2 linked regions of the Neodiprion lecontei genome follow. The protein of the gene in region 2 interacts with the protein of the main gene of each other region in a pairwise test. Links are inferred from orthologs where the notes say so. Each region holds a gene or a part of one and is shown on either strand. Other genes may lie near its edges. The genes, in order: E3 ubiquitin-protein ligase Su(dx) and epidermal growth factor receptor kinase substrate 8.

Region 1 (3,932 bases), on a different chromosome or scaffold from region 2:
GTCGGGTAACGCTGATCTTTATATGACTAGGAAGAGCATTACTGTGGCATAAATATCTGAATTGTGATAATTTCCAGCGAAAAGATCGCTCATATGCCTTTGGAACCCCATAGACACCCTTCGGCCTGTAAAGAAGGTGACCAAAATATGTATTATGGTACTTGGAGTAATTTAGACTCAATTTACGATTAAACCGAAATTCTCAAAACTTTCACATACCCTTTCGGCGCTCCTGGTCTTGGATCTTGGAATGTTGTAGTTCTCGAATTATGGTCCACAAAATACCGGACTCCATCTTCAGTTAATCTAATCTCCCATCCATCAGGTAAGGGTGGTTCGTCCATTCCTGTTTCTTGTCCTTGCGTTCTTGGATCCTCCCATTGAGTTGTTCGATTTTTATGATTCACATAGTAAACTCTGCCTTCGGGCTGTTTGCGTCTCTCCCAACCAGCTGGCAGGGGCCCTAGAGCATCATCTTCTTCAACGACTGCCGTTGAAAGACCAGCCACTGCTGCTTGTCCACCATGAGCCTTTAAAAAAATGTGCAGAAGATAAGAATAAAAAGATTTTTGGTTGTTCTGAAAAAAAATTCATCTTCAATGACGAAATTTTCTCCAATTTTTTCAGTTGGTGATCACCTGAGGGTAGAGGAATCTTTGATTTCCTTGTTGGACAACATGTTGCCGTTCTCCCTGCCAGTGCTGGAAATGCTGTAGCCTCTCTGTGTTGGGGCGTTGCCAAGTAGTACTTCTTGTATTGTGATCTACATAATAAATTCTCCCTCGAGGATCCCTTCGTACTTCCCAGCCTGGTGGGAGTGGCTGTGGCCTTTCCCAGGATGTACTGCGAGTGTTGTGATCTACATAATACCTGGAACGATAAAAAACTAAAAAAACTGAAATAGTTCGTCAATCTTCAAATTTATAGCAGTATATTTCTCTTTAGATACTCAATGATTCAGATATTCTGTACAAGAATGGTTGTAAAATCGCCAGAAACAAACGAACCTTTTTAATTAAATGACAATCCATAATTTACCTTCTGCCATAGACGTCATATCTCATTTCCCAACCAGCAGGCAAAGGTTCTTCAGGCTGATTACCATTTTCAGTCTCCCCGGGTACTCCAGATGGTCCAGCAGATGCTGGTTGACCCAGTGGGGGCCCTGTTGATCCACTGCTACTTTCAGTAGCCAAATGATTACCAACTCCATTAGCCATAGGAGAGGTAAGGCCAACAATTTGAGCATTGTTGGTATTATTACTGGGTTGACTTGCAGTGTGACTAGGATTGTGAAGAATGTTGGTTGAACTTCGATGCATAACTGGCTGCATGACGGAAGGTGCTGCATTCTCTGATCCGTGTAATCGCATGCGAGCTCTCACACCACCATTTAGAATACTTCGATTGTTCCCAGAGTCACTGTTTGAAGAACCTAGAAATAAAAAATGTTCGATCAACATTTCAGCTAATGCGAAAAAATATCTCTGAGATTTAAGGCCTTACCAAGTGGCGTCAGGGCACCGCTTGTAACTTGATTGTGGCGAACTTGTTCGCAGGAATTAGAGGGTATGACTTCGTTCATATCAATTTTTAGTCCGTCAAATAATGTTACCAACTCTCCAACCTTTGATAGTGGACCATAAGCATCGTGTTTATTTTCGCTCATTAAATCCAAAGTTAATTCAACATTATCCAATTTTCCATTGTAGTAGGACAAAACTTGAAACAAATTAATTCTCTTTTCACCAATCAATGCATCCCTACGAAAGGTGCTGTGATCCAAGAGTCTAAAATGCAGCTGGGAGTAAGGTGTTACAAGAATGGTAAACTTTTCCACCCATTTTGGCTGATATGTGGATTTTGCAATCTCAGTTTTGCGAGGACTCTTGTCATCAACTGAGAGTTCAACGTAAGGATTAGGTTTCAGAAATGACGAATTGCGCAATACGGCTGCTTCAACTGAAATGAAAATTAATATATCTTGGAAATCAACATGTTTTTAAGATAAGTAGATGAGGTAGAACTTGATCATAGTGGATGCAAAATTTAAAAAACTATTATCATTTACTAGTGATGCTAAGCTGATGAAACCCTGGAGTTGCAGCTTCCACTTCGCACTGTGACATGGTTTGCCTTTAGATGTGATTCACCAAAATAATCTTGAAATACCATTCATATTAAAACTCAGCTTTCAGAGTATTGTATAACTGAAAAATAAAAAAGAACATTTAGTATAATGTGTAGAATTTACTTAAAATCATTGAAAACAATAGGTTCAAGGGATCTAGGAATATTTTCTGTGAATCAGATTCTCTGGTGTAAGGTAAATATAAATGATCAATCTGTAAATATTTCTATTTTCGTGATTCAGAAAGCTTATAATTCAGCTTATCACGGATCCAGCTGTTACTCAGCAAAACTGACTAAACTATATGTTAGAAGAATACTTTCTTTTCCTGTCTTATTATTTGCTGACTAAAAAATTGGTCAAAAATTGCTTAGATCGTTTGTTAGTTGGCAAAGTGAGAGAACTTTAAATATTTGTAGCCAATAGAATACAGATTGAGGTTTGCGCAGTAAGACTATAGAACAAAAAAACAAAGACGATTACAATTCATTTAATAAATTAGGTGCAGATAGAAATTAAGTTGCGTAGAGGAAAGAATGAAGTACGTAACAGATCAGCAAAATTTGTAAATGTTGTCGCTATCAATTGATTGATCATGTGAGAAGATAATTAACAAAAATAAAATTCATAAAAAACAAAGGTGTGAATTGTTGAGGAATCAATATAACGAACTGTAAATGGAATACTATTTTACAAGCAACAAATTAAGAAATGTAAACTGACTATTTGGTAACAATGGGAGTATTACATTAGACTAGGAAATGAGGTACAGAAAAATGAAACGAAAATTATGAGTAATATACGGGACATTAATCTTGACGTTTCGCGAATGGTTGATTCATCATACATTGCAGATAGGTTTTGACGTTTCAACTATAAGGATACAAACCTATATAGTATTGAACAAATTTCTGAGGCGCGTGCAGTCTTGAAACATCGCTCGCTCGGTATCGTCGATTATAAGACACAAAAACTGAGTTGAAAAACACTCGGAGGATTCGTTATCATGATATTTCACTATCTGACGTCAGCCATCTTGCTGTCCGTCAGATCTAAAAGTGAGTAGTACGAAATTGAGATAAATAAATTGTTTAACAAATCGGGAATGGATTAATAATTTTTATACGGATACGTAAATTTGGTAACGTCATGATTTGTGCGGTTTATTTTTTTTCATTATTACAGAGTGTATTCAAAAGGAACAGGGGTCTAGAATTTCCTCGTTTTTTAGCGTAATTGTAAAACATAAGCAACTCACATGAGCTGCGTAGTTCCCACTCCGTGGTTTCAGACGTTTTAAGCATTTAAAGACCCAATATCCTAATGGAAGTGTGATATTTTCCGTGTAGCGTGGCCACATGTAAAGCTCCCATTGGAAACTGGGAAAAATGAAGGCTGACGCAAAAGTGGAGTATCTGATTGTCGATACTAGTGCATTTATTAGAAACGCAGCTATACAGGTATGATAAATAATAAATAAAGTACAGTTGTCCACTCACCTGCGTACACTCAATTACATTGCACTAGCTCGAATTAGGTTATGCCATCTTCGTTACCTAATTAGTAATGCGTTTTCTCGTACTCTTCTTTTTTTATCATAACTTAAACCGATAAGATTATGATTACTTGATATCGTATCACTTTTCAGCTCAAAATTCTCATATCATGATAAAAACTCATCTCCCAATTTTTCGTAACAGGATATCGCTGCCAACGTTATAACTCCTCAAGATGTTGTTAATGAAATAACCAACAAGCGGCAGCTCAGAAGACTCGTTGTTTTACCTTACGACTTGATTAT
Region 2 (3,932 bases):
TACTTCTTCGCAGGCGGTATCTAAGTATGCTTTTTCATGAAAGAAATTGGCGAATGATTGTATGTACGCTGTTTTCTTTTTTCTCAATTGCAAATCGAACGACGGAAAGTCTGCAGCCTGCGCGAGCAAACCAACCAGTCTAGAGAAATAGATTAGATTGGTAACAACAACTCGGCGGTGAATTTCTCCTTCATATACCGTCAAAACTGCGTCTGATCTAAACTCGTTCTGGTATAGAAACTTATAATTACAAAATTCCCACCCAATTCTCTAGAAATATATTTTCAGATTCTCATGAGCATCGCAAGAAGTATGACTCCATGCATAAAGAAAAAGAAATACAACATCCCGGCATCATTGTTAATACTATGTGTGAGATTTTCGCCGCTCAATATCCTCAATACCTAGAGGCTGCCATTTTGGTGAAAATCGTGTCTCTGATATTGTCAAAGATAGGCAAGTCAAAAAAGGCGTACGAAGAGCAAGAATTAGATATCGTATCGCGCCTCAAGAGGAATCAAATTCTCCTCGCGGTTGATTGTTCGGAGTGACACGACCGACGTGCGAACGTGCGTCTCGTACCTACGGAAAATGACATCATCATCGTCATCGACCCTGAATGAGGAAGAAAGAAGAAAAGAACAAAAGTCAACGGGTGAAAAACTGGCAACGAAACGTCACGTGTGCACGCGCCTTTATGTTGACACTATCGAATTCGAGATGTAAGCTTGCGAGGCTGGATGTGGGCAAGTAACGAAAGGTGCCCCCCCCCCCCTCCCCCCGCTCATCTCATGCGGCATCAAAGAGTATTAATGCACGCGCCGATACAGGCGTGTGTATGCGTATACCTATGTACGCAAGTGTATGTATCGTGTACGTATCACGTAGGATGTATATGTATAGACAGCCAGAAGGGATCAGTTCTTGGCTGAATCGCATTCCAGAGATTCCAAGGCGACTTTAACCACATTTGAAATTCCCAATCCGTAATGGACGCGCTTATCCCACACACGAAACACGTGTGTACACATACGTATATGTATACAGTTGACACAAATACAGAAGGTACGACGCGTGTACGCATGGCACGGTTCGACTTACGTGCATACGTATACCTATGCATATATACATATATATATACATATATTGTATAGTCGAGAAACTTTCATCTGCTCCCGGAATACACGTACGCATTCATAACTCGTGTATAATAATATAATATGCCTATGCTCGTTTTGAAATATACCTACTAACGTTATGGATCTTCATCGTTGTACCGCAAAGTGCGGTGCGAAATTGATTGACAATTTGAAATTGATGGGATACGGTAGATAAGAAAGTTCGACATTCGGATGCCGAGTTAGATATCGGTCGTCGGACCTCGTCAAGGCCAAGGTCGAAAATCTAATGGCTGGTTGTGAATGTGGAATATGGTGTGTAGCGTCCGACGATCGTGCAGACGCTGGAAGTTAGGCGCAGGTGTTTTCAAGCGATTTTCGATACCGCGAAGTAAAATAGATCTACACACCGTGTACGGCATGGCGAAAATCGGTGCTCGAATCCTGCAGCGCGGTGTCGGTGTGCATACATGTGGCAAAGTAAGACCGTTACGAAACGCATCGGAAATGTCTTCGAGGCGTAGGTATAGGTACCGCGTTGTTCTTCCGTACATTAACATTACCCTACGTTTATGGGAGGTTGCGCGACGACGACGTGCTTCACAAAGCTATTCGTGCCTTAGGCTGACACACCCTGTATCGGAATTGATGAAAAAATTTCCAAGGTGTGCATATCAAGCTCGCATGGCGCGTGCAAAAATTACCGGAATAATGCGTGTGTTTGTCTAACCGCATATTACCCTAATCGGGAAAGATAAGTCGCGATACTTTTCAATTCTTGATAGGCAAGAAATTAGCACGAACTTATCAGCATTTTGACAAATTTGACTGAGCTGTTCGTCAAGTTTTAATTAATCATCACAACCGAACGGGATCGACCAAAATTGTAAGGATCGAGATGAAATATTACGTCCAATGTAGGTACAGACGCTTAAATAATTCAGTACACCGTGTGCGGCTAGTTCCTGGAACTGATTTCTAATCACCTTGGTTTTCTTGTTAGTTACGCCGGTATGATTTTTGTTTTTCCTTTCGATCCTCTTTCCCCTTATCGTCACAACCCAACGCGATATTTACCTCGGGCTACAGCATAAGCTGGGTACGGGATTGAGCTCGGCTTCAACCGGCAATTCGGCCGTATCTTAATACACACCAATCTTAACACACACCAAGAACTGAAACCCTAATTGGATTTTCAAGAGGACAATAACCAGGAAAAACAGACAGCTTGCGAAATAAGCCGCATAATGGGTGAAGTGGAATCGACGCTTGGAGCTCCGTTCAAGTTGTGTTATTCGTACCCCATGTATATACTGATACAAAATTACGGTAGTCGGATGTTAAGACTAGCCAAAGAGTGTCCATATCTCTGCTGCTGCGTGTATGGGCGTATGTGCGTGCGTGTATGTGGGTGTATCGGTGTAGTGGAATATCATCGATAAATACCTTGTGACAGCCGAGTTTTGGTAGAACGCGGGTTTGGCTCGACGAAACTTATAATATCCAATATGACGGTGGTTATAATCGTAATCGCGTGGCACAAGACCAATCGCCGCCGTTTATTTTCACTGTAAACTTATCAACTTACAGGTATAGCTGCAGGTACCAGAACGATAAAAGTTTGAAAACTATCAACTCCGTCAACAAGTGTCAGTCCCGACGTCACACTCTACTCACCTATATACAATACGGCACAGAGCAACGGAGTTTTGGGCGGACCTCGGTCCCACTCATTGTCGACTGGAAATACCTGTGCCGTACCTCTATACCTGACGAAGCCCCAGGTAAACTTGGGCGGGTGTCCCCCTTCTTCACCCCCTTCGACCCACGGACAGGTAGCAAATGAAACGAACCACCTCATTGGTCGAGGTGGAACGGTACCGAGCTTTCCATTCGTCGAGACCTGCGACGGAGCTCGGTACGATCGGTTAGAAGAGGTCTTAGGTTTACCTGGGCCACCGATAGCGGATTCTCGGCTTGCCCTGTAGCGCTCACAAAGGCGGCAAAACAATAAACGACAGTCGTGGGTATTTGCTTGCTCTGGCCATTGAATTCAAGCCAAATTTTACCTGCTCGTATTTCTCGGAACATGGAAGGCATAAACTTCTTTTATTACGGCAAGAACATACTACAGTTAAAGTCCAAACTGTTTTCTTCGCGGAAGGTATTTAAATGGAGTCGGTGAAAGAATTTGGAAGCTCCAACTTTGAAAACTGTACCCGAGATTCTTTCGGAATAGGATGAAGTCAAGATAAAGTAGTAACGTTACTGTAACGGTGCATGTTGACGAAAAATCGGTACTTCGCATTTATAGGAAAGTCCGAGATTTGGTAAACCATTGTAAACAAAATATACTTCAATTTTGAAAAGCCAACTCCTTGAGAGTAATTTTTCAATCGCTTAACTTCAGTCTGATTCTTTCGGAGGATACAGTCAAGGCTGTTGCATTACAATTTTCGCATCCATGAATCGTTATTAGCTAACGATAATCCAGTGTCGATGGGAGAAAATTCGCTATTTTAAAAACGTCCTCTAAAGCCGAAGGATGTTTTTCAGACAATTTGAAAGTCAAAGCCGAAAAAACGTAGTCCTGATATTTTTTTTTTTACCATATTTCAATTTTGCTGTGGCCATATTACAAGTTTTTACGAAATCGATTGAATTCGGTCAACTACAGCTTGACTGTATTTCTAATTTCCAGAATTGGCTTTTCGAATTATGCAGAAGTGATTTCTGAACAAATTTTGGCAATGAATGGCCCACAACAGCTGCTTTAAGAATTGAAAACAAAATGAGGAGGATGGTTACGAAGAA

What was found.
Region 1: the proteins of epidermal growth factor receptor kinase substrate 8 (region 2) and E3 ubiquitin-protein ligase Su(dx) interact in a two-hybrid assay, tested with the Caenorhabditis elegans proteins (2 studies listed by BioGRID). The link is inferred for Neodiprion lecontei from reciprocal best matches to the Caenorhabditis elegans genes eps-8 and wwp-1.

The regions. Positions count from the first base shown.
Region 1 is NC_060261.1:34,764,046-34,767,977, reverse strand, and holds the start of E3 ubiquitin-protein ligase Su(dx), read right to left. Parts: upstream 3,160-3,932; 5' UTR 3,021-3,159; intron 2,211-3,020; 5' UTR 2,130-2,210; coding exon 2,072-2,129; intron 1,963-2,071; coding exon 1,507-1,962; intron 1,436-1,506; coding exon 1,039-1,435; intron 871-1,038; coding exon 639-870; intron 531-638; coding exon 220-530; intron 126-219; coding exon 1-125. Other genes in the region: RNA-binding protein NOB1, read left to right, coding at 3,520-3,591, 3,832-3,932. UniProt on the Caenorhabditis elegans protein: E3 ubiquitin-protein ligase which accepts ubiquitin from an E2 ubiquitin-conjugating enzyme in the form of a thioester and then directly transfers the ubiquitin to targeted substrates. Ubiquitinates klf-1.
Region 2 is NC_060264.1:35,608,466-35,612,397, reverse strand, and holds the start of epidermal growth factor receptor kinase substrate 8, read right to left. Parts: upstream 2,924-3,932; 5' UTR 2,796-2,923; exon of another isoform or gene 2,707-2,795; intron 2,701-2,706; exon of another isoform or gene 2,565-2,700; intron 1-2,564.